5 linked regions of the Oryctolagus cuniculus genome follow. The main gene of each other region encodes a partner of the protein of the gene in region 5 in a complex. Links are inferred from orthologs where the notes say so. Each region holds a gene or a part of one and is shown on either strand. Other genes may lie near its edges.

Evidence for each region.
Region 1: the proteins of NLRP5 (region 5) and YWHAG are in contact, whole or in part, in a cryo-EM structure (PDB 8XI3), measured with the Mus musculus proteins. The link is inferred for Oryctolagus cuniculus from reciprocal best matches to the Homo sapiens genes NLRP5 and YWHAG. Residues at the interface, in NP_035990.1 of Mus musculus: Ser1030, Cys1031, Ser1055, Gln1058, Cys1059, Pro1060, Val1061, Glu1084, Phe1087, Val1088, Lys1089; in NP_061359.2 of Mus musculus: Phe201, Tyr216, Thr220, Met223, Gln224, Arg227, Asp228, Thr231, Ser235.
Region 2: the proteins of NLRP5 (region 5) and OOEP are in contact, whole or in part, in a cryo-EM structure (PDB 8H93), measured with the Mus musculus proteins. The link is inferred for Oryctolagus cuniculus from reciprocal best matches to the Homo sapiens genes NLRP5 and OOEP. Residues at the interface, in NP_035990.1 of Mus musculus: Glu173, Leu176, Leu195, His196, Gly202, Leu206, Asn322, Leu325, Glu326, Tyr337, Ile338, Leu339, Val340, Glu341, Gly342, Leu343, Ser344, Ala345, Ser346, His373, Asn625, Gln626, Asp652, Ser655, Glu661, Leu662, Cys663, Pro664; in NP_080756.1 of Mus musculus: Ser26, Leu27, Arg28, Leu29, Arg30, Thr31, Arg32, Ile38, Val41, Asn43, Tyr48, Met49, Leu75, Leu86, Glu88, Pro95, Thr99, Lys102.
Region 3: NLRP5 (region 5) and KHDC3L share a complex: the UniProt entries of both Homo sapiens proteins name them as parts of the subcortical maternal complex. The link is inferred for Oryctolagus cuniculus from reciprocal best matches to the Homo sapiens genes NLRP5 and KHDC3L.
Region 4: the proteins of NLRP5 (region 5) and TLE6 are in contact, whole or in part, in a cryo-EM structure (PDB 8H94), measured with the Mus musculus proteins. The link is inferred for Oryctolagus cuniculus from reciprocal best matches to the Homo sapiens genes NLRP5 and TLE6. Residues at the interface, in NP_035990.1 of Mus musculus: Gln185, Phe188, His283, Arg307, Glu326, Lys327, Lys329, Ser330, Ser334, Pro335, Leu336, Met444, Ala447, Glu448, Trp451, Tyr465, Tyr507, Tyr508, Glu511, Glu515, Asn517, Phe520, Phe522, Leu540, Met543, Lys544, Leu547, Val571, Lys574, Leu575; in NP_444484.1 of Mus musculus: Pro147, Gln148, Pro149, Val150, Cys158, Gln159, Phe161, Leu162, Ile163, Gly165, Leu166, Trp167, Leu169, Phe170, Ser173, Arg174, Gln175, Lys176, Asn177, Ala247, Asp248, Lys249, Phe250, Lys252, Pro253, Ser255, Trp256, Leu261, Glu262, Cys265.

What each region holds. Positions count from the first base shown.
Region 1 is NC_091450.1:44,225,102-44,231,446, forward strand, and holds the start of YWHAG (14-3-3 protein gamma), read left to right. Parts: upstream 1-2,118; 5' UTR 2,119-2,360; coding exon 2,361-2,447; intron 2,448-6,345. UniProt on the Homo sapiens protein: Adapter protein implicated in the regulation of a large spectrum of both general and specialized signaling pathways. Binds to a large number of partners, usually by recognition of a phosphoserine or phosphothreonine motif.
Region 2 is NC_091436.1:99,171,219-99,176,526, reverse strand, and holds OOEP (oocyte-expressed protein homolog), read right to left. Parts: upstream 2,928-5,308; 5' UTR 2,852-2,927; coding exon 2,659-2,851; intron 2,489-2,658; coding exon 2,306-2,488; intron 1,931-2,305; coding exon 1,851-1,930; 3' UTR 1,673-1,850; downstream 1-1,672. UniProt on the Homo sapiens protein: Component of the subcortical maternal complex (SCMC), a multiprotein complex that plays a key role in early embryonic development.
Region 3 is NC_091436.1:99,180,424-99,185,572, forward strand, and holds KHDC3L (KH domain-containing protein 3), read right to left. Parts: upstream 3,333-5,149; 5' UTR 3,148-3,332; coding exon 2,979-3,147; intron 2,825-2,978; coding exon 2,645-2,824; intron 2,379-2,644; coding exon 2,227-2,378; 3' UTR 2,050-2,226; downstream 1-2,049. UniProt on the Homo sapiens protein: Component of the subcortical maternal complex (SCMC), a multiprotein complex that plays a key role in early embryonic development.
Region 4 is NC_091447.1:59,661,895-59,667,618, forward strand, and holds the end of TLE6 (transducin-like enhancer protein 6), read right to left. Parts: intron 4,790-5,724; coding exon 4,691-4,789; intron 3,866-4,690; coding exon 3,802-3,865; intron 3,722-3,801; coding exon 3,638-3,721; intron 3,323-3,637; coding exon 2,970-3,322; intron 2,891-2,969; coding exon 2,640-2,890; intron 2,317-2,639; coding exon 2,175-2,316; intron 1,988-2,174; coding exon 1,837-1,987; intron 1,733-1,836; coding exon 1,656-1,732; intron 1,581-1,655; coding exon 1,476-1,580; 3' UTR 1,324-1,475; downstream 1-1,323. Other genes in the region: TLE2 (transducin-like enhancer protein 2), read left to right, coding at 651-758. UniProt on the Homo sapiens protein: Component of the subcortical maternal complex (SCMC), a multiprotein complex that plays a key role in early embryonic development.
Region 5 is NC_091449.1:2,983,524-2,989,247, reverse strand, and holds part of NLRP5 (NACHT, LRR and PYD domains-containing protein 5), read left to right. Parts: intron 1-1,496; coding exon 1,497-1,556; intron 1,557-3,025; coding exon 3,026-3,385; intron 3,386-5,724. UniProt on the Homo sapiens protein: Component of the subcortical maternal complex (SCMC), a multiprotein complex that plays a key role in early embryonic development.

The sequences.
Region 1 (6,345 bases), on a different chromosome or scaffold from region 5:
GTGTTTCCAAGTGCATTAGACTGGTGGGGGAAGGAACTGGGTGAAGAGGTCAGCGAAAAAAAGCTGCAATGTGGCAGGAAGTTCCCAGGATTCAGCATCTGGGGCTCGACTCATTGACACATTTGATCCACATGTGGACAACTGGCGTGGCCAGAGAGGGCTGGTTCCCATGCAGCTGGGAGACCCAGGCCACGGTGGGTCAGCTCTGGCCTGCAAGGAGGAAGAGAAAGGAAGAGGAATGACTTGGCGAACAGTCCTGCGAGAGACAGAAGGAAGTGGGAGGGCTTATTCACCAGCAGGGTTGCATTCTGCTGGGCGATGTGGTAAGAGAGGCCAGGCCAGATCCCATGTTGGAGGAGGGGAGACACAGAACTATTTCTAGATCCTCTCCCCACTCAGCCCATCTCCCACACGCTGGTCCAGAGTGCACGCATGCCTGCCTGCCTGCATCACGTCTTTATTTCACATGTGCCATGCACCGACTCCGAGCCAGACTCTAAGTACCAAGCAGCGAGAAGTTAAAGACGACGACAAAATGCAAAACTGATCCTTTTTTTTTTTTTTTTTAATTTTTTGGGCATGGTTAAAAATCTCTCATGGCATTCCTATGTATGGCAGAATAAAAAGTTAGAACTCCTTAGGCTGCCATTCGGTGCCCCTTATGTGCCTGACTCCATCAGCAGCCCCCATTAAGGATCACCGGGGACACCAGGCACGGCAGACTCCTTGCCTGTTACAACGAAAGGGAGGGACTCCCGGCCCTGAAGCCCTATCATCCTGCCACGGCTGGGTCGGGGATGTCAGCAGCCTCCCTGCGGCAGGTTTTCAGAAGCTGCTCCTATCCAGCCAGAAAGAATCATTAAAAAAAAAAAAAATCTATATATCTATGTATTTGCAGCACTTACCTCCTAAATTCTGCCAGGACAGGTTCCTCCGACATCTAGCAGAGTCTAGAATATTCCCCTCACAGAAACTCATGTGAGGTTCAGAGCCCTTCCTTGGACTCCCTTTTTTTGCTTTCTAACCCACATTATTGATTTTTATCTCGCTTGTTTTGTGGGGCAGGGATTTTTTTTTTTTGCTGCTTCGTTCATTGCTGGGAGCATAGCAGGCGCTCAATACCTGTCGAACGACTGATGCAAAGCAGGCAGGCGAGGGTGGGTGCGCGCTGTGGAACCCAGGAATAAGCCTGTGTCAGGGTGCAGGTGCTGGGTGGGGGCAGAGGGGTGGCCCGCCCCAGCCGCAGTGTCATGGAGATAAAAAATTCTGCAGCTCCACCCGGAGCGGAGGAACGGGCTCCGACGCGTCCCCTGGGGACGTGAACCAGGGTGCCCAGCCGCTATTCCGCTTCCTACGTGTCACCCGGACAGGTCCAGCAGCCTCCAGGGGGACTGCGGACCTGGAGCCTCGCTTGGGGACAGAGAGTCCCCCGCTTCAGGCAGCCGTCGCGCGGGGGAGCGCCATGCTGACAGGCTGGAGCTACCGTGTCCGCGCCCCCTCATTCCCTCTCCCGGGCCCTGCTCCCCGCCATGACCGGCTATTCTGCCTGGAAAACAGGGTCTGGGCTGGGGCCCCGCCCCTCCCCGGGTAACTGCCCAGAGGACATGGGGCGGGGCCGTGAATCAGCACTCGCTCCGACCGTTGCCGCCCTCGTCCCCGCCAGAGGTCTCCCGTGTCCGCCGGTTTAGGAGCCCCATCCTCCCACGCCCCTGCGCGCTATGCACACTGGGAGATGTAGTCTCGGCCGCCCTTTTGTCTTCGGTTTCCTCAATGCGCCGTTGGACGGCGTTGTGAACTACAACTCCCAGGAGCCCACGCGCGCCCTAGGCCCGGCCGGCCCGGGGCCTGAAGGGGGGAGGGGAGTCTGGAGAGGCTTAGGCGAAGGAATCCGGGTGCAGTAAAAAAAAAAAAAAAAAGGGGTGGGTGGGTGGGAGCGTGGCGGGGGGCAGCGGGGAAGCAGAGGACACTCGCAAGACCGCAGCGGGCCGAGCTGGGGGATGGGGGACCGAAGCTCGAGCGGCGCGAATGCCCGGGCGGGGCCTGGGCGGGCGGGCGCGCGCGCGCGCGCGCGCGGGTGAGTGGGCGGGGCCGCTTGCGTCACGCGGCGTGGGCGGGGCCGCAGGGGGTTGTCCGCCCGCGGCACGCACAGCAGCCGCAGCCGCCTCGCGCCCGGTCCCGCGGTCGCAGCTCGTGCCGCCTCCTCCTCGCCGCCGCCTCAGCCGCTGCCGCCGCCGCCGCCTCAGCCTCTCGCCTCGTGGGTCGGTCTTTCCGGCACACGGGCCCCAGCCGCGCCGCAGCCGCCCTCCGAGCCCCTTCAGGCCGCCCCGGTGTCCCCCTCCGGCCCGACCCAGCCCGCGAAGATGGTGGACCGCGAGCAACTGGTGCAGAAAGCCCGACTGGCCGAGCAGGCGGAGCGCTACGACGACATGGCCGCGGCCATGAAGAACGTGAGTGTCTCCTCCCCTCCCCCACGCTCCCCCGTCCCTCCGGGAGGGGGGCACGCGGTCAGCGGCGGGCAAGGCCCGGCGCGACGGCAGGGGAGGGGGCGGCAGCCCGGGGGCTGCGTCCCCGCGGGGGCTGCGGCGGGGACCCGGGTGGGGACGCGGCCTCGCCCGGGGGGCCCGGCGGCGCTGGGCGGGGTCTTGCGGGTCTGGTCTCCGGGTGTGCGGGGGGCCCTGCGCATCCTTTGTGCCCCACTTCCCCTCCTCCCCGCCGGGCGTGGGGGCGGGGGGCCGCATGGACGCCGTTCCTCTTTCTCTCCCTGGTGTCTGGGCGGCGCCTTTCCCGTCCGCTCGGCGGGTCTCCCGGGTGGCCACCCCCTCCCCAGCCCTTGGACCCTCCCCGGGGTGTGGGGGTTGGGGGGGGGGGGAAGGTGCTCCGGAAAACCTGGGCTCCGCGGTGCAAAATCGAAACCTCCTGGCTCACGTTTTTCTTAACAAAAGGCTGTAGCTCCATGGCCCAAAGCGCATCCCCTGCCCTTTTTTTTTGGGGGGGGGGCGTTTGTCTCGCTGGCGTTTCCATTGATTGTTCTCAATATGTCATCTCCATTTTTTTCCCCTTGTGTTCTTGCATTGGAAAGGGTAGGTATCGCCCTGAAAATAAACGTTGAGAATTTAGCTCCCTGTTTCTTCTTTGAACACAGGCACGCGTCTGTTGAAATTCCTACAAGTTGAAAAAAAATATATAGAGATATAGGCACACAGTCCGTCTGATCTGATATTGCAAACAAAGCGGTGGTGGGAGGCAGGATCCAGGCGTTCCAGAAGGTTCTGCATTTGTCATATTGCAGAGAGCCTAGACTGGGTGGAGGCAGGGAGCACTTCGCGGCCAGGGGAGCGAGCCCTTGCTCAGGAATTCGCTCTGGGAGCCGCCGGAGCTTCCTGCCCCTCGCCCTGGAGGAGAGGCAGCCCCGCTCAGCCCCGCGGTCTGGTCTGTGCGGGATGCGGGTCCCTGCCCCCGGCTGCACCATTTTGTCAGGAGCCCCAGCTCGCCCCGGCCCGCAGTGTGAATTCAGGGGAGGGGGGCTATTGCTGAAGGAGACGCAGGAAAACGGATGGTTTAGGGCTCCCACCGCCTTAGTATTTCACTTCCTGCCTTATGTAACAGGGTTAGAACGCCTCTCGGGCTGCGGTTTAAGGCTGCACCTTCAGAGCGGTGTGGGTTACGTTCATTCTTGAGCAGCAAGGTGACAAGGCTGGTCTGTTATCCTTGCTCCAGCTACAGATATTAACAAAAATTTTTTTATCCTGTTGAGGAAGGTCATTGTTCTGAAATTGGAGATGGTGCTGTTTTCATACATCCACAGAGTTGGTAGTTCTTAACGTTTTAATGCTCTGATAATGCAAGTCGCACTTTTAATATCTGCTCAACACTATTGGGAATATCTCCGGTTCGTGTCCTTTATTTAGGCTTTAATTCTGCCATGTTCCGAGTTTCACAGGAAGGCGAGTGACCTCGCACCTGTACCCATAGCAGCCCAGTGATGTCACGCACAATGACACAGAGGCTGCAGTGCACCTCGGAGCTGGGAGGAGTGTGCACTTGGCGTCTGTCCAAGGAGTGCAGAAGGTGGCTGAGGAGCCAGGTGGAGCTGAGCCCTTTATCCTCCCCCAGATAAGAACGGGTCCAGAAAACACGAATTTCCTTTTCCCTCAGACATGCAAACCCGCGACCCCTGGATATGCCTCACTCGTCTTCCCGTTTCCAGTTGGTCTCAGGATCCATGAGATACTTTCGTCTTTTTGAAGCATTGATCTCGCACATTTTAAAAATTGGGACAACAGCGGAATGAAAGAATTTTTAAAATAATACAGGATCACAGTGCAGGGGTGGAATGTGTACTCGGGTTTATTGCAAATAATTGGCAGGTTTTAATGAAAACCCTAAGAAACTGCGGCTTCCCACTGGGTTATTCTCAGGAAGCCGTAGGGAACGGAGACCTTTCAGGAAACATTTGACTTCAGGATTTGGGAAGCTGCTCTGTGCTTCCTCTCCTCGACAGAGCAGGGAGGAGAGAACCAATTGTACAATCAGGGTTTTTTTTTTTTTTTTTTTCTTTTAAGATTTATTTATTTGAGAGGCAGAGAGAGGTCTTCCGTCACTGGTTCACTCTCCCAAATGGCTGCAACAGCCAGAGCCAGGAGCTTCTTCCTGGTCTCCCATGAGAATGCAGGGGCCCAAGCACTTGGGCCGTCCCCCAGTGCTTTCCCAGGCCATTAGCAAGGGAGTTGGATCGGAAGTGGAGCAGCCAGGACTTGAACCAGTGCTCAGGGGGATGCCAGCAGGCTTCACCCGGTGCACCACAGTGCTGGCCCCAACAAGGATGTTTTTTGAAAGCTATTTATGTTGACTTAGCAAGTAGGTTTCCCTCTGACTTCCTTTCCCCATCCGTGGAATGGGGCAATACCTGCCTGAATGGGTTACAGGATTACGTAAGGGACGCGGGAGCTGCGTCTGAAACTGTCCCTGCCCATGTGTCTAAGTCATCTGGAGCAGTTGGGCAGTGTGAAGGAAAACTCAGGTTTACCACCAAAGTGAGCTCTTTCCTAAGGCTGAAATCGGCATGGTGATAGAGGGGCTAAAATTTATCTGCATCTAGTGAAATAGCAGAGTGAATTGCACAGGTAGTTCCAAATGTTCATGGAAAATGGAAAGAAAAGATCAATTCTGGTGAGAAAATGTGAGGTTTGTGTGTGGCTTTTTCACAATGTGCATTTTCCATGAGCTCTTTGAAGACCCTTCGTATATACGATTTTTGGTACTAAAATAAACTCCTTTTCATTCCATTTTCCACGAACTTTCTCTTAAATTAAAATTTCACTTTCTAAAATTTTGGCTTGAACACGCGGTACCGCAAACATGTGTGGGGTCCGTGCCTTTTGAAAAGAGCTCACATGCGGGTGACCAGGATCGAAATAACGCACCAGACAGTGTTTTGAAAAGTGGAGAGTGGGTCTCCAGGACAAACGTTTGGTCTTGCCTTGAAGAGGAGGCAGGCACCTAGGCCTCCCTGTGTGCCACACGGTAGACGGTACAGTTCAGCCCCGGTTTCACTTTCCGTGGGTTGGGTTACCCCACGGTCCCCACCGCCTGTTACTATGAAGTGGAAAATCCCAGCAATACACAATGTATAAGTTTTAATTGACTTTCACTACAGTCTGTTGTAATTATTCTGTTCTATTGTTGTTACTCTCTTAATGGGCCTAATATTTTTAAGTAACACTTCATCAGAGGCATATATATATATATATACATAAAGAGAGAGAGAGAGGGGACACCAGTGTATGTGGTGTCCGGCACCCACTGGGGTCTTGGAGTATTAACACCCCCCACGCACACACGATGAGAGGGGACCGCTGTATTGTCTTGTCCTTTGGCTTTTGATGGCCTCTTTTGAGGTTAATATTCTAAGTAGGCTTCGGGTCCTTGCACCACTGGGAAGAGCTTCTGGACTAGTAATTTTCTTAAATTCCTGGGTTCAACAATTTTAACCTGGATGGGGGTATGTAGGGGCCAAGAGGCTGTCATAATTACAGAGTTTAAAAGTCTTCCTAGTAGAATCAAATTCGTATTATCTTAAATACTCCGTTTTTCCTGCCAACAGCCTCCAAGAGGCTCGATGAGAAGCCATCATCACCAGTGGGGTCGCAGCACCCCCAGCCCTGGAGGGGTGGAGCTCGGCCAGCCCCGGGTAGAGGTCATGTGCTTGAATGGTTCCCTCTGTGGACGGGAAGGGGCACACACAGCAGCTTGCTTTCTGTACGTTCTTGGTCACAGTTAACTGAAGTGGATGCTCAGTGTTTCTTGCTAATTATTATTTTTTTTAAATCTCATCTATTTTTTGAG
Region 2 (5,308 bases), on a different chromosome or scaffold from region 5:
AGGATGACCCAGGTGCTTGGGCCCTGTACCCGCATGGGAGACCAGGAGAAGCACCTGGCTCCTGCCATCGGATCAGCGCGGTACGCCGGCCGCGGCGGCCATTGGAGGTTGAACCAACGGCAAAAGGAAGACCTTTTCTCTGTCCACTCTGCCTGTCAAAAAAAAATTCTGGCTCTTCAAAGCTGTGCTGGTGAGGGTAGGAGCTCTTTTGCAGATTGGTCATCACTGAATGGGTAAGGAAAACTACTCAGCCCCCAAGGAATACCTGTGCAACAAGAGCAAGGAAACAGCCAGCTCCAATGCAGGGCACCCTCTGGTCGGCCAAGGGGCCCGCCACCCTGGCTTTTCAGTGGTGAAACTTAGTGCCATCATAAATGCTGGTAGTCTAGGCTAGGCCTGTGTGGGGGAGAGCAACTCACATGCAATGCAGGAGGCACCACTCAGAAAAAGGCACACCTGGTGATCTGAGGGGCAGACTACCAGGGTTGAAGTGAGAACCTCAGAGTTGCTTTGGTCTTACACACAAGTTTGTTAGAAATACAAATTAGGGGTCAGTGCTGTGGTGCAGGTTAATCCTCCGCCTGCAGTACAGTCATCCCAGATGGACGCCAGTTCTAGTCCTGGCTGTTCCACTTCCCATCCAGCTCCCTGCTAATGACCTGGGAAAAAGCATTGGAGAATGGCCCAAGCATTTGGATCCCTGCCACCCACAAGGGAAACCCAGAAGGGGCTCCTGGCTCCTGCATGGCTCAGCCATCTGGGGAGTGAACCAGCAGATGGACTCTGTCTCTCCCTCTAACTTTCAAGTCCGTCTTAAAAGTAGAAGTTAACAGACCTTAACCACATCTTGAGTCAGCATCACTGGACAAAGGGGGCCAGCGTTGTTGTGCAACTGGTTAAGCTGTTGTCTGACACCGGCAATCCATACTGGAGTGCTAACTCCATTTTTAAGATTTGAAAGGCAGAGTTACAGAGACAAAGAGGCACAGAGATCTTCCATCCACTGATCCATTCTCTAAAGGGCCAATCTGAAGCCAGGAGCCTAGAGTTTCTTCCAGGCAGGTTTCTGGCTTAACCTCAGCCATTTGGGAAGTTAGCCAGTGAATATAAAATCCATCTCTAGAGGCTGGTGCTGTAGTGCAGCAGGTTAACACCCTGGCCTGAAGCGCCCGCATTCCCATATGGACGCCTGTTTGAGATCCAGCTGCTCCACTTCCGATCCAGCTCTCTATGGCCTGGGAAAGCAGGGGAAGATGGCCGAAGTCCTTGGGCCCCAGCACCCACGTGGGAAACCCGGAAGAAGCTCCTGGCTGCTGGCTTCAGATCAGCGCAGCTCCGGCCGTAGCAGCCATCTGGGAAGTGATCCAGCAGATGGAAGACCTCTCTGCCTCCTAACTCTTGACTTTCAAATAAATAAATCTTTAAAAAGGAAAAAAAGATCCATCTCTGCCTTTTCCTATCACTCTGCCTTCCAAATTTTTAGAATAGGAAGAGCCTAGGGAACTATTTTAACGAGCTCTCAAATTGATGACCTATCTCAAAAAAAAAAAAAAAAAAAAACCCTAAGTTTCAAAATAAGAGGGGAAAAAAACCCACCTCCTGCCAGCCTTCTACCCACCCCTCATGTCAGATAAACACTCAACCTTTTATAGATTTAAGTAAGCAAAAGTTTATGTCATTGGACAAAAAAAGTCCATTTATTCGAATATCTCTACAAATGCACATTCACATCAGAAGTACTGTCAAGTCACAGGAAAAAGGAATGTAGGGATTAGGGTCACCTGCTTCTCTCCAAGTTTAGAAAAAGCAAGGCTGTTCTAATGCTCTGCTCCTGGCCGTAGTCCTGTGCTCTAAGTATCGAGATGCAGGGGAGCGTCCGGCCCCGATGAACGAGTCTTCAGGAACTCCTCAAGGTGCTTCATCTTCTCCGCTGGAAGAGAAGCAATGGATATCAACCACAGGCAAGGGAAAATGTCGGCTGTTCCCACGTGCTCCGTGCATACAGGAGACGAGGGCGGTGCATCTGGCAAAGTGGGGAGAGGTGAAGGCTCTGAACGTGCCGTCTGGCAACAGGGAAGCAGCCTAGCGAAGGCTGACTTGGGCAATAAGAAGCTTGAATGCATCAGATCTTTGCTTACCTTCCCTAGGTCCTACGTGCACCCCCCCCCCCAAAAGGACCCCCTGGGTCTGCGGGCAGCTTCTGGGGTTTGGGAATGGCAGTAAGTACTGATAGCTACAGGAGGCTGGAAGGGAGCTGAGCAAAGCCAGAGGCTTCCTCCGCCTGCAGCTTCTCCAACAGCCTCACCTCGCGCCACACGACGTTCTCGGTGCCATGACGCCAGGCTCAGGAGAATGCTCTTCACCCGGTTCTGCACACGGGGCCGTGCGTGGACCGTGATTTCCACTAAATTCCCGGAGTCCACTGGGTCCACCCTCAACAGGGCCTGGCTCATCCACTCCATTTCCGGAATCATGGCGCGGTCTGGGCCTAAACAAGTAAGGGGAGAGCAAGTGGAGTCATGGTCAGATCAGAAGGAGCTAGATGTGAAGGTAAAGATGGCCCGGGAAGGGATGAGCCACCCACAGAGCCAGAGCACCCCGGAAAGAGGCCCGGGAGTGGCTCGAGCCTCTCAGACTGGAGTCGCACTAGCAGCTCACCAAAGATCAAGTCCGCCACCCATGCCTCCAGGTAGAACACCGCGGGGTCTTCCAGTTCCTGCACCGGAAACCACCACGGCCGGATGTGAATGCGCGGGGGCGGCAGTGGATGTGGAAACCTAAGTAGGTCCTCTGGGCGGGTCAGCTTCAATGGGTGCTGCCGGGCCTCAGCAGCTCCAACGTCCGTGTCCATGTTGAGAGCAGCAGCTGAAACCGTTCGCACCAACCACCGGAACCTTGCTCCAGACCCGGCAGGCCACGCGGGCTCTTTTATGGCCCAGGTCAGCCCCGCCCACCCGGCAGCAGCACGCCCGCCCAGTTCGGAGTGAGTCTGCGCAAGGCACTCTGGCCCCAGACTTCTTCCACCTGAAATTAGTATTGGTTTGAGATCCATTTGGGTCTCAGGCACGCTCGCTTGGTCATCATCTCTGCAGTTTAAGGTTTCACAGTCTAGGCCGGCGCCGCAGCTCACTAGGCTAATCCTCCGCCTTGCGGCACACCGGGTTCTAGTCCCAGTTGGGGCTCCGGATTCTGTCCCGGTTGCTCCTCTTCCAGGCCAGCTCTCTGCTGTGGCCCGGGTGTGCAGTGGAGGATGACCCAAGTTCTTGGGCCCTGCACCCCATGGGAGACCAGGAGAGGCACCTGGCTCCTGCCTTCGGATCAGCGTGGTGCGCCGGCCACAGCGCGGCGGCCGCGGCAGCCATTGGAGGGTGAACCAACGGCAAAGGAAGACCTTTCTCTCTCTTTCTCTCTCTCTCTCTCTCTCTCTCTCTCTCTCTCTCTCTCTCCACTCTGCCTGTCAAAAAAAAGGTCCCAGCCCTAACTCATACCTGATTAACAGTTTGGATTGTTAACCTTGTTGACTGGGACTCACCTTAAGAGCCTGCGTTAAGATTTGCGTAGTTACCTTCCAAAGACAGGTCAGGCCCTGGGCAAGCTCGAATTTAAGGTTTTCTTGTGTGCTCCTTGTTATCGTAGGACTCTGGATGGTTGCCATTTCAAAAATCATTCAGTGTCGTGGTTTTGTTTGTTTGTTTTTGTTTCTGTTTAAGATTTATTTATTTATTTGAAAAGCAGAATTATAGAGACAGAAAGATCATCCACTGGTTCACGCCCCAAATGGCCACAACAGGTGGGGTTGGGTCAACCAGAAGCCAGGTGTCAGGAGCTCCATCCAGGTCTCCCACATGGATGCAATTAGGTCATCTTCCCTTCTATCTCAAAGTGCATTAGCAGGGAGCTGGATGGAAAGTGGAGCAGCCAGGACTTGAATCAGCACTCATATGGGATGCTGGTGGCTAAGCTAGTGGCTTAACCTGCTGGGACACAACGTAAGCCCAGTTCTTACACATTTTCTATTACATTTCTAGAATTGTTCAGCAGTTTTAGAATAGATACTCATCACATCTGCTATAAAAACTCTTATAATTAGCTGTGTTTTTTTTTAATCTTTTATATGGAAATGTTCTATCACTTATATAAGAAAAGGTACTATTATTAATGCGCTGAATCCCTCATCCAGAGGGCTCTAGGCTGCAGTTGTCATCTATAGATAATATCGGGCAGGCATTGTGGCATAGTAGGTTAAGCCTCCACCTGCAATGCCAGCATTCTGTATGGACGCCTGTTAAAGCCTGGCTGCTCCACCTCCCATCCAGCTCCCTGCTAATGTAGCCTGGGAAAGCTCTGGAAGATGGCCCAAGTGCTCAGGCCCTTGCTACCCACGTGGGAGAACTGAAGGAAGTTATGGGCTCCTGGCTTTGTCCTGGCCTAGCCCCAGCTGTTGCTGTCTTTTGGGAAGTAAATCAGCAGTTGAAAACATTCTCTCTCTATCTCCCTCTCTCTTTCTCTCTAACTCTGCCTTTCAAATAAATAATATTATGTATTCTTAAAAACAATAAAAATATTGAGTGGAGATAATCTAATTTTAGTGGTATTTACTTCTGTATAATTTTTAAAAATCAATGTAATGCCTGCATATTGTTTTTAAAAAAAGTGTTGATGATATAAATATGTGAAGGTTCCTGTTTCATATACAAGCATTTTCCTGCAGTCTTTACTACTCCTTTTTCAACTGTGTATATTATGAATCTCTCCTTACCATTTAACTTGTCTTTTCATTTTCTTATGGTGTCTTTTGATGGACAGAAGTCTTTATAGTATAAAGTACTTCCCTTATCACGCTTAAGAAATCCTTTCCTAGGCTAGGGGTTCAAGTCCCAGCTGCTCTGCTTCTGATTCAGCTCCCTGCTAATGTGCCTGGGAAAGCATCAGAAGATGACCCAAGTCTTTGGGCCCCTGCATCCACATGGGAGACCAGGATGAAGCTGCTGTCTCCTGGCTCCTGCCTGGCCCAACCCTGGGCTGTTGCAGCTATATGGGAAGTGAACCGCAAAGGGAAGATATCTCCCTCTCTCCCTCTCCCTCTCTCTCTCTCTCTCTCTCTCTCTCTCTCTCCTCCTCTCCCTCTCTTTCTCCCCCTCTCCCTCTCTTTCTCCCCCTCTCCCTCTCTTTCTTCCTCTCTCCCTCACTTCCTCCCTCCCTCCCTCTCTCTCTCCCTCTCTCCCTCCCTCTCTCTCTCCCTCCCTCTCACTCTCTCTCCCTCTCTCCCTCTCTCTCCCTCCCTCTCCCTCTCTCCTTGTCTCTCTGT
Region 3 (5,149 bases), on a different chromosome or scaffold from region 5:
TAGGAGCATAAAATCTCCAATTCTCCATCTTTAAAAAAAATTAAAACATTTACTGATTGATTCCCCAAATCACTGAAATAACCTGGGCCAGGCCAAGAACCAAAGCCAGGAGTTTGCTTCCCACAAGGGTAGCAGGAACCTGATTGAGCCACACTGCTGCCTCCCTGGATCAGTACTGTATAGAATCTTACCTAGGCACTCAATATGTGAGATGTATACTGCTTTTTTAAAAGATTTATTTGCTTGAAAGAATTAGGTAGAAACAGATCTTTCCACTGGTTTACTCCCCAGACAGCTGCGATGGCTGGAGCTGAGCTGATTCGAAGGCTGGGTTGGAAGTAGAGCAGCCAGGACCCGAACCGGTGCCCATATGGGATGCTGGCGCTGGCCCTGAGATGTAGTTTTCCTAACCCCTAAAGGCCTACACCTCCCTCCCATTTTTTAATGATTAAAAAATCCCATTTGAGAGAAGGTGGTGGGGGTAAGCAGGCACGAACCAAACCCAGAGACTGATATGGGGGTGTCCTTAAGCAGCAGCTTAACTGCTAGACCAAAGACCATCCTCTTAACTGGCAAAATACACCGATTCATGTAAGTATATCGTGAGCTCTAATGTTCGAACAAAACCAGGAACTTTGGAAGCCATATGTATATACATTTTCCCTCAACCAGCTTATGCATTTTAACTGCTTCATCTGGAAAAATCATCTAGGAGCCAGCATTGTAGTATGGTGGGTTAAGCCTCTGCCTGTGACACCAGCATCCTTTATGGGCGCTGGTTCCAGACCTGGCTGCTCTACATCAGATCCAGCTCCCTGCTAATGGCTGGAGAAGGCAGCAGAGGATGGCCCAAGTGCTTGGACCCCCGCCATCCACTTGGGAGATCCAGAGGAACCTCCAGGCTCCTGGCTTCAGCCTGGCACAGCTCTAGTGGATACAGCCATGTGGGGAATGAACATCCAGATGCAAGATCTCCATCTCTCCCTCTAATGCTGGTTTTCAAATATCTAAAAATAAACCTTTGAAAAGGTGATCTTGACTACCAATTGAACACTTGCCATCTCAGATGTTAGGATATTGTATAAAGCAACATAGTTTAAGGGGTAGATACTGGAAAAGCATGTACATACACACATACGTGGACAAAAGATACCTGCTGCCAGCCCATAAATTCAACTTTTTTTCTTCTTGGTTCTCTCCAGCCTCCACCCAGGAATGTTTAATGAGGTGTCCTACCACCTTGTTCTTTCATCGAAGTCCTCTCCCATCCGTGTGTGTGTGTGCACACAGGGTAATTTTGGGCTTATATATCAATAGGCAGACCCCTAAATGCTCTGTTGGCCTGCTACCTTCTGCTCACCAACCTCTCTGGTGCAACAGAGAATCTGATGTTTTGGTCAAAGGGGTACTACTCTCAGAACAGCAGGCACACAGGGAGTGTTCCTTCTGCTGGAGTGCAGCCTCACTTGAAGCTGATGATTCGTTTTGATATTCATTTTGAGCTTAAAGTTCACCCCTCTTTAGGCTTTTCGCTTTGCCTCCCCTGACCTTTAAAATTAAGCTGCTTTGAATTTTTAAATAAACTTTGAAAAAAAAATTTCTAACACTAGTATTATGCAGATAATGTTCAATCCTAGCACACAGCTGTTAGTGTTCATCCTACTTCATACGCAGGCAGTGGGATCAGAGGTGAAAGGGTAGCCGAGCCCAGCATCCTCTCCCAACCGAGGTGGGAATGGCCGGTGTTAGCTCCGCTATACGCCCAGGAGGCCCTTCCAATCTAGGAGGGCTGCAAGCCGTCTCCAGGTTTTCCCATCTTAAATTACTATGAGAAAAGACACAGTGGGCTTGCAGTTTCCCAAGAGGGCTGGCTCAGGGAGCCCGAGAGCCCTCGCCCCAGGGGACACTTGACCGCAACCCGGGAGGACCCGCCCCAGAGCGGCAGACACCCAACGCGCCTCACCTGCCCCGGAGGGGAAGGCCGTGTAAAGCAGATCTTGGCTGCTAGAAGAACAAGCCTGGTAACCTTCCGACTAAGGCACGCCAGGGGAATGCAACTCGTTTTATTAGAACTCCTTAAACTTAAACTCGCAATTAACACAGAGGGGGAAAACAAAACACCCGCAGCGTTCTGCCCCAGCTTCTAGGGCAGCAGTAGGACCTAGAAGAGTAGAATTACTGAGGGATCTGCACTTGAAGCCCTTGCTGGTTCTCGCTCTTGGCTCTTCATAGCCTGGTAACCGGGTCCTCGGCAGCCTCTCGAGGCCGTTGCGTCCCAGGCTCGCGCTCCTTGACTGGAGACCGCTGCGTCCCGGCCTCGCGCACTTCGATTGGAGACCGCTGCGTGCCGGCCTCCTGCACCTGGACCTTCTCTGAGCCTGGAAGTAGAGCGGTGTGAGGAGACTGCGCCCTTGTCACCCACACCCTCCTCCTCCCAAAGGCAAGTCATCCTGCGGACAGAGGCTGGGGGCCGGAACCCCAGGACGCGGGGCCAGTTTGGCCTTCTCGATCCCTGGTAGAGACGAAACCCTTCGGGGCAAGGGGAAAAGCGAGCCTGCTGCCCTGGCAGCCAGGAGACACCAGGATCCCTCCCTTGGAGCCAGAAATCGCTTGGGGGTCGCCCTGCCTTCTCCCGGGCCCATACTTTGCACCCGGAGCTGGCGGTGATAGTCGGCCAAGTTCATGATCAGCTTGGATACATCCTTCTGAAAATAAGGTCGCCCACATATCAAGATCTCAGCTTCGCCGTCAGGGTCCCATCGGTTCACATGAAGCAGGGTGTGGGAGACACACTCGACGTGCGGGATGTGCTCCCCGCCGGGGCCTGCGCGGGGAACAGGGAGGCAGTGAGCAGAGGGGTGTCTCCTAGGATCCTGGGCGAAAGGAGGGCTTGGAGCTGGGGCGTGGCCAGGCCTTGAGGGATGCGGGGCGGGTGGGCAAACGAGGCCTCACGGGCCGCCTCTAACCCGTGCACTCACCGAAGATCGCTTCCACCAGCCAAGCCTCCAGGTGAACTGCCTTCGGACTCTTGAGGAACTCGGAGTGGAACCAGTTGGGCAGCTTGGTGAGGTTCCCGAGCACCTGGCACAGCTCCCCTTCTCGCTGCTGCAGCTGCACGAGCGTCTGAAAGCGCTTGGGGGTGGCCATGCTGCAGGAGCCTCGCGGGGGGCCACCGCGCAGCAAGAAGCCCGGGGCGGCGATGGAGGTAGGCGTACACGGAGGCGGCGAGCGCAGGGGCCCGGCTGGGGCAGTATTTCAAGGGCTTTTGGCCAGCCCCTTCCGCTGGCGCGTTTCTCATTGGACCCCCGGCCTCCGCTCCGGACTTCTTTTCAAGGCGGCGCAAGTGCGGCGGTTTCTGAGTTCCTGCCGCGCTGCTTGGGGGTGGGCTCACCGCCCACTGCGCGCGGGTCGCGAGGGACCAGGGACCAAAGAAGGGACCAACAGCTGGACAATACCGCTTAGAAAGAAAAGAATTGATACCTGCGGCATGATACTTTACTTTCAGGGCTAAAGTAAATTCCCCACCCTGGCCAATGAGCTCCACCCCCCCACCCCCACCCCCTCGCCGTATCCCAGTTTTCTGAGCTCCGGCAAGGGCAAGTATCTTACTTAATGCATCATTAATGCCATGCACACAACCGACAACAGAGAGGGGTCCTTGAAACTTTTTTTTTTTTGCCTCCATTTTCCAAGTGATACGACGCTATTTCTTTTCTTTGATGTTTCGGCTTAAAGCGTTGTTGAGTAATTGCTCCTCTTTGGCTGGAGCCGCTGTCGATCCGAAATCTCGAGCTGTGACTTTGCCACTGCCAGCTTGGGTCAGGAGGGAAAGGGCGACTGGGCCCCTGTGACCTGCTGTAGTCACCGCGGGTGGGCACTGTGGGCCAGGGGATCAGGCTCCGAGGGGGCGGAGGCGGGGGTGGGGAGGAGAGCGGAGCTAAGGTTCACGGATTCTGGCCGATATCAGCTGAAAGATGCTTTCAGCTGGGCGTTATAATTAAATATTGAAACACATAATCTTCATTCATGGGGGACAATTTATTCTCAGAAAAAATTCAGAAGAAAAATACAGCGTGCCAACGGTGCTGGTATCCCACAGGGGCGCCGGGTCCTGTCCCAGCGGCTCCTTTTCCGATCCGGCTCTCTGCTATGGCCTGGGAAAGCAGTGGAAGATGGCCCAAGTACTTGAGCCCCTGCACCTGTGTGGGAGACCCGGAAGAAGCTCCTGGCTCCAGGTCGGCTGGGCATCGCAGCCATTTGGGGAGTGTACCAGCAGATGGAAAATTCTCTCTGTAACTCTGCCTAATGAAATAAATCACAAACTTAAAAAGCCCTCAGGTATTTTCCTTTTTAAGTTTCCACTCAGACCTCTCTATAGAGCAATCTCAGAACACGGTGTACATTAGTTATTCCTCACTTCTGCCCCCTTTTGCCCTACTTAAAACACGCTACATTTGTAAATCTAATAGTCTCTTTTTACTCTCCTAAGGCTTTAAATTCCACAAAGAAGATTTTGTTCACTTTGGTTTCCCTGCTGTCTCCCTAGAATAGAGTAGGTATTGGAAGTACCATGAGGGTGGGAATTCTCTTCTGTTTATCTGTGTGGCCACAGTGCCTAGAACAACATTTGCACATTGCAGGCATTTGCTGGGCCCTTGTGGACTGATGTGTATCATAACACGCGTATGATGTATATCATTCCTTAGAAGTGGGACCTGTGTGAGAGAAGAGGACATCTAATCATTGACACTTTGTTAAATGCCGAATGTGTTGATATTAATCATATAAATTAAATATTCATTTAAAATTTGATACTTGGGGGCTAGCGCTGTGGTGTAGGGGGTAAAGCAACCACCTGCAGTGCCGGCATCCCATTTGGGTGCCGGTTCTAGTCCTGGCTGCTCCACTGGTTCTAGTCCTGGCTGCTCCACTTCCAATCCAGCTCTCTGCTATGGCCTGGGAAAGCAGTAGAAGATGGCCCAAGTCGTTGGGCCCCTGCACCTGCGTGAGAGACCTGGAAGAAACTCCTGGCTCCTGACTTTGGATCAGCTCAGCCACTTGGGAAGTGAACCAGCTGATGGAAGATCTCTCTCTCTCTTTCTCTCACTCTCTGACTTTGCCTCTCTATAACTCTGCCTTTCAAGTAAAT
Region 4 (5,724 bases), on a different chromosome or scaffold from region 5:
GGCTTGTGACCGCCTGTGTGCGCCGTCCTAGCTGGGCCCGGAGCGGCTCACACACAGCACAGTGGGGGGCGGGGCCCAGGGTGCACTTTGGGCAAAAGTTGAGCACCGGGCTCTGTCCAGGTCCTGGTGCCACGACCTTGCCTTGAGCTCGGGCCGGCCCATGCCCCCCAGCGGCTCTGCAGCTCCACGTCCCAGAGCGCGGGTGCCGTCCCGGCTCCGGGGCACGGGCCCTGTCCAGGGGCGCGGTCTGGGTTCCACGCGGAGGGCCTAGCCAATGCCCGGGCTCCCTGCGCACGCGCACCTACTCTCTGGTGGAGGGCCTAGCCAATGACCCGGCTCCCTGCGCATGCGCACCTGCTCCCTGGTGGAGGGCCTAGCCAATGCCCCGGCTCCCTGCGCATGCGCACCTGCTCCCTGTACCCACGAGGGAGATCCGGATGGAGCTCCCGGCCCAGGCCTGGCCACTGCCGCCACCTGGGGCGTGAACCAGACGATGGACGCTCGCCCTGTACCTGTACTCCCTCCTGTACCAGACAGCTTCCCGCCGTCCCTCACAGCCCGGCCCCCCTCCCCTGCTCAGGGCGCCCAGCGCTGCCCGCACCCCCACCCCGGGCACCTGCTGACGCCCCGTGTGTCCCCCTCCCCCGCAGTCCAAGGAGTCGTCCTCCGTCCTGAGCTGCGACATCTCCCGGAACAACAAGTACATCGTGACGGGCTCCGGCGACAAGAAGGCCACCGTCTACGAGGTGGTCTACTGACCCCTCCCCTCCCCTGCTGGCCGCAGAGACCCCGGAATAAATGTATTTATCTCAACCGGCTCTGGGTGCTGGGCTCGGGGGGTGGCCGCCGCGGTGGGGCAGGGGCGGCGAGGACCTGTGCCTGGCTCTGACCTGGTGGGGATCTGTGCGGGGACCGGCTGTCTGGGGGCTCAGAGGTGAGGGCTTGGGGGGGGGCGGGGAGATGGGTCTGGGGCCCCTGGGAGTGCACGCTGGAGCCGGTGCGGGACAAAGCCCCTCACCTGGGTTCTGGACGGGAATTCTGGAAGGAGGCGGCCCCACCCAGGGCAGGTGCACCAGGAGGCAGCGCCTGTGTGAGGGCCAGTGGCAGCTGTCTGCCCACCCGCTAGAACCGTGGACTCTGGGGGCGGGGAGCAGGCCAGGCGGACCTCCCCGATCGTGACAGCCACCCGGCACCACCCCGGCCCAGCTGCTGTCAAAGTTGAAAGGCAGGAGGAGCTGCCGGATGCCGGCATCCCAGGCCCTGACCACTGCCCCACCCGGCCCACATGCCCCCGGCCCAGCCGGAGCCCCCCCGCCACGAGGCCCAGGGGCAGCAGCCTGCTTTGCCGAGTGCTTTATTCCACGGACAGAGCCCAGAGGCTGTGAACCCCACGCAGTGCCGACGAGACCCCTCCACTACCTCCCCCACCCCCCACCCCCGGCCCGTCTCAGGAGATGATGGACGGACACGGGGCCTCAGTAGGTGACCTGGTACACGGAGGCACAGTCCCCGGCGCCCGTGACGACCAGGCGGCTGTCGCTGGACACGTCGCAGCACAAGATGGCGGTGGCCTCGGGCACCTGGAGGCGAGGGGCGGGCTGAGCCGGGGAGCCGGGGAGCCGGCCCCCCTCTGCTCCCCACTGCCTGCACCCTACCTGGAACACCTTGGCGCCCAGGGGCATCGTGTAGATGCTGACCAGGTCGTCCGTGCCCACGCTCACCCACCAGCGGCCTGGCAGAGACACGGGTGCTGAGGGGGCATGGGTGGCCCCCCCCTGCTTCCCGCCCCGCGTGGGGGCCACAGCGGGCGCCCCCACCCCGGCCCAGGCAGCTCACCAAAGGCTGAGAACCTGAGCGCTAGGATGGCGCTGTCCTTGTGCCCGGCCATGCGCGCCTGGCTGCCGTCGGGCCGCCGCAGCCACTGCTGCCCGTTTGCCAGGCCCAGCAGCAGCCAGTCTTCCTGGGGGCAGTGGGCCAGGCTCATGATCTGGGGGGGGGGGGACAGGCGAGAGGCCGGCTCGGACCCCGGCCCCGCCCTCAGCGTGCTGGTCCTTCAGGTGGGCATGGCAGAACCTGGGTCAAGCCTCACCGCCCCTCCCCCCGCAGCAGCACCGGGACAGCACCGTCCCCGCTCCGCCCCCCCCCCCGCCCACGGCCGAGCCCTCGCCGCACACCTGGGACTCCAGCGGGTACTGCAGGGGTGGCCCCGCGGCACGCAGGTCCCAGCAGCGCAGGCACGCGTCCAGGCCGCCCGCCCACACCTGCTGGTCTCTGACCACGATGCTCTTGGCGCAGTTTGGGGGGCCGGGGAGGTCCCTGCGCGTGAGAGGTCGGGGGGGGGGGCTGGGTGGGCGGCGCCGGCCACGGGCCCCTCCCGCCCTCCCGTCTCGTTCGCACCCACCCCCACTCCCCAGGGCCTGTGCACACCTGCGCCATGAATCCTCCCCACTAGCCCCAGGCCCCGAGCCGGGGAGGGGGCGCATTTAGCACATGTGTCGTCACCACCACCCCAGACACCAGTGCAGTGACGCGCCACTGACGTCACAGCCACGGCAACCGCTGAGCACAGGCAGAGGGGCGGGGCGCGGAGGGAGCTAGGACCCCGCGCCTGCCCCGCCCAGCCCCGACCCGGGCCACACCTGACCACGCTCCCACTGCGCAGGTCCCACGTCCTGACCATGCCGTCAGTGAAGCTGGCGAAAGCCAAGTTCTCGGCCGGGTTGGCGGCCAGGGCCTGGCAGGTGCCGCCGGCGCACGGCAGCTGGGCTGAGGGGCGCAGGGCCGGCGCCGCCAGGTCCCACACGCTCACGCTCGCCAGCTTGTGGCCGCCCACGAGCAGGGTCCGGTTGTCGGCGGTGAGCAGGCAGGCGCGCAGGTAGGCGCCGGGGGTCTGCGGGGGGGGGGGGGCGAGGGGGCCGTGAGCGCCCACCCCCCGCGGGCCCCGCCCCCGCGCAGGCCCCGCCCCTCACCTGCGCCCCCGGGAACAGGTGGCTCTCGGGGAGCTGGGCCTCGGCCACCTGGCCCGTCAGGCTCCAGACCTTGACACCACCCCTGCTGCAGGTGAAGGCGTGCCGCGTGAAGCTGCTCACGGCCGCGGCCAGCACCAGCTCCCCGTGCCGCAGCGTGCGGGCCTTGTCCAGCTTGTGCGGCACGGCCAGCCGCCCGTGGGCCGCGGCGTCTTCGAAATCCTCGGGGTCCCAGGAGCTTGGGGGTGGGGGCGCGGGGTGACGCGCTGACCCCGAGTCGACCCCGAAGGGCGTCGTCTTCCCCAGCCCCCCGGCCCCCCAGAACCACGCACCGCTTTCTGCCTGGAGTTTGGCAGCTCATAAGGCAAACCCTATTCACCCCAACCAACATGTCCCCTCTCTGCTCCCAGCTCTGACAGAGCCCTGCCCTGGGCCCCTCCCGTGGGGGCTCCTAGCCCCGATCCTGTGACCCGCCCGTGGCGCGGGGAGGGCCCCTGTTCCTGTCCACACACGGGGGGGGGGGTCTCTGTGCCCCACCCCCACCCCCAGCCCCGGAGACACTCACAACAGCTTCAGAACCGGCTGGACTCTCTCTGCAGGCTCCTGCGGGTGGGACGAGATCGGCCGCGTGCACCTGTGCCCGCCCCTCCCCCGGCAGCCCCCACACAGACCCGGTCTTACCCGGGCCAGGCTGGCACTCACGCGGTCATCTCGGGACCCCTCCCGGGCGCTGGTGGCCTTGGCAGGCTGGGGAGCTGGGCAGAGACAAGGGGGCTGCGGCCTGGGGGCGGCCCCTCCGGCCAGCTGCCCCGCCCCCCTCTTCCCCCGGGATTACTCTGAGTGGAGGCTCCGGCACCCATGTTCGTCCCCAGGTCGCGGGATCCCGGCTCCTTGCTCTCCTGACCCAGGCAACAGCAGAGCTGGGTCAGAGCCGAGCCCGGGCTAGCGCCTCTCGGCTGCCCAGGCAACTCGGCCCGGTCCGCTGGGGGCCCGGTTTCGCGAAGGGGTCAGTTTCTGGAAGCTCCAGGCCGTGGCCACCACGTGGCTACCATGTGGCTCCAACACAGCCTGGCCTGGCCTGCTCCGCCCAGGGGGAGGGGGACAGGGGGAGGGAGGAGGGCAGGAGGATGGGGAGGGAAGAGGGAAGGAGGGGGACAGGGGGACAGGGGGACGGGAAGAGGGGACAGGGGACGGGGGACGGGTCACCCCCATCCCACCCCCACTCCACACCCCTTCTGAGCCCCGCAGAGCACCCACACTCACCAGGCCCGGCGCCAGCTCTGTGCCTGCGACCGGAGGGGTAGACAGACAGGGGAGCAAGGTCACCGTGCACCCCCACCCCCGCCACGGCCCAGGCCGCCCCGCCCCCGCCGGGCCGCTCACCCTGGTCCCCGAGCTCACTCGCCGCGTCGTGGGGGCCGGCAAACCCCTGCCAGAGCAGCCGCGTGAGGACATCTTGCCAGAACTGGGGCTCCGGCGGGGCGTCCGCGTCCGTGCCGGTGCCCGTGCCCGGGGCCCAGGGCAGCTGCGGCGGGGGGGACGGCGGCTTCGCGCCCACCAGGGCTTCAGCGTTCGACTCCTGGGCGGTCTCGACCTCGGGGCCCCGGGGGGCCTTGGTCTTGGGGCTGCAGGGCACCCGCTGGTCCTGGCCGGCGTCAGGAGAGGCTGGGGTCCCCTGGGGCAGCGAACGAGGGGTCCTGAGAGGCCCAGGGCCCCACCCCCACCCATCCCCCCCTCTCCCCAGGGGCCCGGCGCCCTACCTCCTGCGTCGGGGTGTCCAGGGCCTGGCTGCAGGCCTCGAGCAGCTGGGAGAAGTGTTCCAGCTGGGGGGGGGGGGCGGTGCCAGGGTCAAGGCCAAGTACCTCCAGGACACAGCCCCGCACCCACTGTGGGTTTGAGGGCCGATTGTGGGCGGGCCCCCAATTGCTTCTGTTTCAGATGAAAACTCGAGGGCCACCCCTCGCCTGGGGCCCGCGGAGGCCGAGCCGCCTGCGTCCTACCTAGGCGGGGTGGGGATGGGGGTGGGGGTCCGGGTCCTGCCTGTGCCGGCCGGCCAGCTCCCCGCGCATGCGCACCCTGGATCCTGCCTGTGCCACCCAGCCAGCGCCCCACGCATGCGCACCGTGGGAGGCGGCAGCGAGGGCGCAGGTGCTGGGACCCCTGCCGCTCATGTGGGAGACCCGGATGGAGCTCCTGGCTCCCGCTTCGGCCTGGCCCAGCCCTGCCTGGGCACTGAGCCGGCAGATGGGAGATCAATCGCTCAGTCTCTCCCCCTCTGCTCGTAACCCTTTTTAAATTTTGAACGGCGAAGTTACTGGGCAGACGCGAACACCCAGACCAGCACTGCCCGGGACGGGGTAACCGGAGTCACCGCGCGGTCCACACCCTCGTCTTCCCCACCCGGAACATCGAGGGGGGCGCGAATTCAACACATCCTAGCTCACCGCACCCAGTGTCACTTCCAACCAGTCTCCACTCGCAGCCACACGTCTGTCCCTTCTGTACGGCCTCGGCGGGACAGAGACACAGAGGCCGCATCTCAAATGCTCGACAGCACGCGGGGGCGGGGAGCAGGGTGCTGCCCAGCAGGTGCGAAGCCGGCCTCCCACATGGACGCCGGTTCAAACCCCGGCTGCTCCACTTCCCATCCAGCCCCCTGCTAACAGCCTGGGACGGCGGCAGAGGAAGGGCCCACGTGCCTGGGCGCCTGCACCCACGTGGGAGACGGGACGTAGCTCCTGGCTTTGGCCTGGCCCAG
Region 5 (5,724 bases):
TCGTTTTCCCTGTGGTGGGACTGTGGCCGGTCCCCCTTCCTCGGTGGTGTCTCCCTGCTCACCTCGAGGTATGTCCCATCTACTGGTTCACTCCCCAAACAGCCACGGTAGCCAGGGCTGGGCCAGGCTGAAGCCAGGAGCCTAGAACTCCGTCTGGGTCTCCCACATGGGTGCAGGGGCCCAAGCACGCGGGCCATCCTCTGCTCCCCACAGGCGTGTTAGCAGGGAGCTGGATCAGAAGCGGAGCAGCCAGGACTTGAACTAGAGCCCCACTGTGGGATGCTGGCCTTAACCCGCCGTCTGGCAACACCGGCCCAGGGCCCATCTATTTACATGGTAGAGAATTTCTGCTGGCAAATTGGAGTCCATCTGCCTACACAGAGGAGCCTTGCCTTCAAGGGGCACGATACTGATAAAAATTAACCAAGTCAACAGGTGCTACAGACATTTTGGACTTGAGGGCATTTTTAATCTTGTGTTTGTTCTCTTTGGAGCAACTGATGTGTCTATTCCAGATTGGAGGGAAAACAACTTGTTACTGTAGCTGCCTTAGTCGATACAGAAAGCAACACTCATAGAAATAGGAATATTTTCCCTAGAGTACTGAGAAGTCGTCTATTTTGGTTAATTAGAAGCTGTAGACTGGATTAGATCTTTTTTTTATTTTTTTTAACAGGCAGAGTGCACAGTGAGAGACAGAGAGAAAGGTCTTCCTTTGCCGTTGGTTCACCCTCCAATGGCCGCCACGGCTGGCGCGCTGTGGCTGGCACACCGCGCTGATCCGATGGCAGGAGCCAGGAGCCAGGTGCTTCTCCTGGTCTCCCATGCGGGTGCAGGGCCCAAGCACCTGGGCCATCCTCCACTGCACTCCCTGGCCACAGCAGAGGGCTGGCCTGGAAGAGGAGCAACCGGGACAGAATCCGGCGCCCCGACCGGGACTAGAACCTGGTGTGCCGGCGCCGCAAGGCGGAGGATTAGCCTAGTGAGCCACGGCGCCGGCCTGGATTAGATCTTAAATCTCCATGTCCTGAATTTTAGGTGGTCTAGGGTTGTGAGAAGATAGATACCTCACCTCACCTGCACATCCACAAGTTTAAATCCGAAGCCAATTTTTGTGACAATAACTGTGTTTACGGAGTACAGGTTGCTATTTTGATATGCATATATTGTAGAAAGAACATACCCATCGCCGTACCTATTTTCTATGGTGAGACATTTAAAGTCTCATTTAGCAACATTGACATATATATTAACTACCCTCACGGTGCTGTGCTGTAGATCTCTCAAACACTCCTCTTAAACCTGTACATAGTTTAAAAAAATGCAAGTTGATTTTCAATATTTAGTCTCTTTAACCAGCACTCGCTCTCGGGAGGTCTCCATCCATGTGCTAACTGGATCCTATCCTGCTTAGAGAGCAGGTAACGCAGGCACATTCAGAGTGATGTGGCCCCAGACAAAACGGGTACCTTTTGACTGACATCTGCCCCTTCCAGGTACTGGTTACCACCATTCTACCCTCTGCTTCTATGAACTTGACCTTTTAGGTTCCACAGGTGAGTGAGATGACAAATCCGAACATGACCCAGCAGTGTCTTAAGCCTGAGCGCCACTGTTGGGACGGTGCCTCTGGAGCCTCGATCCCAGGGTGCTGTAAGGTTTGCATACACGCTATGCCGTCCTGCTGAGTGCTTCACTTCACGGAAGCCGCGCAGCAGCCCTGGGAGATGTGGTTCTGACTCCCGACTTCCTCAACGAGGCAGGGGTGTGTCATCAAAATCACAGAAGTCAAACTTGGGCTCCCCCTCAAATCTTGGAGCCCACAGCACAGAAGTTCACACCCTCCTGCAGTGGCATGACAGCAGGGTTCCCTCTAGTGGCAGCCACCTGTGGTCCATCTCTGTCTGAGGCACAGCACGTCATGGCAATATGCTGTAAGTCTCATGAGCACGTTCGTGCGACTTCCGTTACAGCATGTTGCTATTAAGACTGTCTGATCTGTAAACTTATCAGAGGTGTATATGCAAATGAGACACAGCAAATACAGGGTTCAGTACCATTGATGGGCTCCGGGATCCATGAGGAGTCCCAGAAGGCCCCCCACTGTTTCCCTGTGGAATCTGACCTCGTGCCAGCTAGAAGATGAGCCGAGCAAGGTGTGAGTAGCAGGAGCTGTCCTGAGGGCCAAGGATTCTTCATAGACTCATTTGTCTGTATTTCTTTGAAGAAATGTCTTCAGATCCTTTGCCCATTTTAGATCACTTGTCCCCCCTTTTCAGAGTTTTTATATTTGGATATAAGTCCTGTATCAATAGGACTTCCAAATATGTATTTTATACCAAATATTTTTTTTTTTGACAGGCAGAGTGGACAGTGAGAGAGAGAGAGAGAGAGAAAGGTCTTCCTTTGCCGTTGGTTCACCCTCCAATGGCCGCCACGGCCGGCGCACCGCGCTGATCCCATGGCAGGAGCCAGGAGCCAGGTGCTTTTCCTGGTCTCCCATGGGGTGCAGGGCCCAAGCACCTGGGCCATCCTCCACTGCACTCCCTGGCCATAGCAGAGAGCTGGCCTGGAAGAGGGGCAACCGGGACAGAATCCGGCGCCCCAACCGGGACTAGAACCCGGTGTGCCGGCGCCGCAAGGTGGAGGATTAGCCTATTGAGCCACGGCGCCGGCTTATACCAAATATTTTAATATTCCAAACATTTTATAAAACTGTAATTCAATATTAACATGCACAATTGATCTTTAAAAACCCATAGAACTGCTAAAAACTGAAGAGCCATTTGTCTGAGTCCTGAAAATTCTCGGACGAACTCTCTTGGCTCCTCCGAGTGTGCCAGGTGCTGTCTGACAAACTAACGGGACTTCTAGCAACAGGATAAGCAGGTGCAATGGTGACCGGCCTTCTGTCTAGGAAGAAGTCTTACCAAAGGAGAGGATGCTCATCTAATGAGTCGGTTGAGGTCCGATGTGTTAACCTGGAAACTTGCCACAAATTTCGGTCTTGTTCCTCTTCCCACAGATCCTATCTCTTCCAAATTACCGAAGAATCTACTCTCTGACCAAAATCTGAGCTCTCAGCCTTGTGTCACGAAGGAAGATGACCAATGGGTCTCCTTTTCCAACTACGGTTTGCAGTGGTGTCTCAAGGAGCTGAGCAAGGAAGAACTGCAGACGTTCAAGGAGTTGCTGAGGAAAAAGCATTCGAGGTCAACGACGAGTGCTCTCCCGTGGACTGAAGTGGACAACGCCAACACGGAGAGTCTGGCCTCCCTCTTGCATGAGTATTACGAACGGCCCACTGCCTGGACCATGGCCATTGACATCTTTGAGGAGATGAAGCTATTGACGCTCTCTGAGAAAGCAAGGGATGAGATGAAAAGTGAGACTCGGGGCAAGTCTGGGGCTGGGGGGAGACGGGGGTCCCAGGTTCTTGTGACAATAGGGCAGACTTCTCTCTAGTTGCGTCCACCCCTGTGGTGCGATCACCAGTCCTCTCCACTGGCGGACATCGGTGCTGTCTCTAGTGTGTGGGAGATAGGAGGAGGAGGCATGAGTGTCCAACTCTTCCCGGAGAAAATTCAGTTGAGTGTATAGGTAGGATTTGGAGCCTAACCTTGAACTCTGGAGTCTCCAGGGTCACATGTGAGAGTTAGGGCAAGTCTCTTCTTGTCCCAATCCTGGGATTTCATGCCTCGGAACAGGAGCTGTGAAACTAGATGAGCCATGGCAGAGAGTCTGAGATCCCGTGTGGGAGTTGGCTGCCGCCCATTGACAACACGGGAGTGTCTCCCACTCGGCCCCAGGTGAAAACAGGGACTCCATAGACTGTCAGTGCCCACGTTAAGCAGTGGTCTTAAGGTGGATGATTACCTGGGTGTAATTAGGGGAAAGGACTTTCTTTAAAAAAAAAAAATAGTCCCCTTTTATCAGGAGAACGTCTCCCACCGTTGTGGACTGGAAACTTTGCTAAGTGGTTTCTTGACTGGGCAGCCAAAGTGGCCCTCAAGATGGCAGACTCTGCACACAACATGAGCCTGCTCGTCAGCCACCAGGGCCCCATCAACAGCAAAGGCTGCAAGGGACCACAGACATGGTGCTCTCTCTGCACCTGGGAAGGCCCTGAGCAGAAGACACGGTGGTACTACCTGCCCGAGTGAGGGGAAGAGATTCAAATGCTAGCTGGCGTCGCCTGGGCAGTGCTGCAGGTCGGGCCCCACACTGAGGCCCTGGGTCATGAAATGGCCTCCCCAAGCCCCACAGACCCCCAAATCGGGGCTCTTCCGTGTCCGATAATTTGACCAAGTTCACAAGCTAATAAGCGACAAGGATGAGGTTCACTGACGTCCACTTAGCATAGATGTGAATTCTCATGTCAAGCTCCAGGGGTATCCAACAGTTCTCGGTGTGGGAAGGAAGAGAGAAACGGGCAATTTTAAAGATGAAAGGTAGGGGCCAGCCAGTGCTGTGGTGCAGCAGGTTAAAGCCCCAGCCTGTAGTGCTAGCATCCTATACGGGTGCTGGTTTGAGTCCTGGCTGCTCCATTTCCAATCCAGCTCCTCGCTGGTGTGGGGAGATGGCAGATGGAGGGAGGTCTTCCACCTGCTGCTTCACTCCCCAAATGGCAGCAACAAGAAGCTGGGCCAGGCCGTCTCCCTCTCAGTGTCCCTCTGTAACTCTGCCTATCGAATACATAAAAATATTTTTTTAAAAATTAAAGATATAGGCCGGCGCCACGGCTCAATGGGCTAATCCTCCACCTTGTGGCGCCGGCACACCGGGTTCTAGTCCCAGTTGGGGCGCCAGATTCTGTCCCTGTTGCCCCTCTTCCAGGCCAGCTCTCTGCTATGGCCAGGGAGTGCAGTGGAGGATGGCCCAGGTGCTTGGGCCCTGCACCCCATGGGAGACCAGGAGAAGCACCTGGCTCCTGCCTTCGGATCAGCACGGTGCGCCGGCCACAGCGGCCATTGGAGGGTAAACCAATGGAAAAGGAAAACCTTTCTCTCACTGTCCACTCTGCCTGTCAAAAAAAAAAAAAAAAAAAGAAATGTAAGTGGTTCCTATTCTAGGCTACTGGAAAGTGAGGTCTAGGATCACTTCATAGAAGAAATAAGCCTTTTAAAAAATTTTTTTGAAAGTTACACAGAGGCAGAGAGAGGTCTTCCATCCGCTGGCTCACTCCCCAACTGGCTGCAGCGGCCAGAGCTGCACCGATCCAAAGCCAGGAGCTTCTTCTAGGTCTCCCATGTGGGCACAGGGGACTTGGACCATCTTCTGCTTCTACTGCTTTCCCAGGCCATAGTAGAGAGCTGGATTGGCAGTGTAGCAGCTGGGACTTGAACCTGCGTCCATATGGGATGCCGGCACTGCAGGTGGTGGCTTTACCCGCTACAGCACAGTGCCAGCCCCAAGCTTTTGTTTTGTTAAGATTTATTTCTTTGAAAGGCAGAGTTAGAGAGTCAGATCTTCCATCTGTGGGTTCACTACCCAAATTGACTGGAGCTGGGCCAAGCCAAAGCCAGGAACCTGGAGCTTCTTCCAGGTCTCCCACATAGGTGCAGGGGCTCAAGGACCCAGGCTGTCATCCACTGCTTTCCCAGACGTATTAGCAGAGAGCTGGATCAGAAGTGGAGCAGCCGGGACTTGAAGTGGCACCCGTGTGGGACACTAGTACTGCAGGTGGCAGCTTCACCCACTATGCCACAGTGCTGCCCCAAAGAA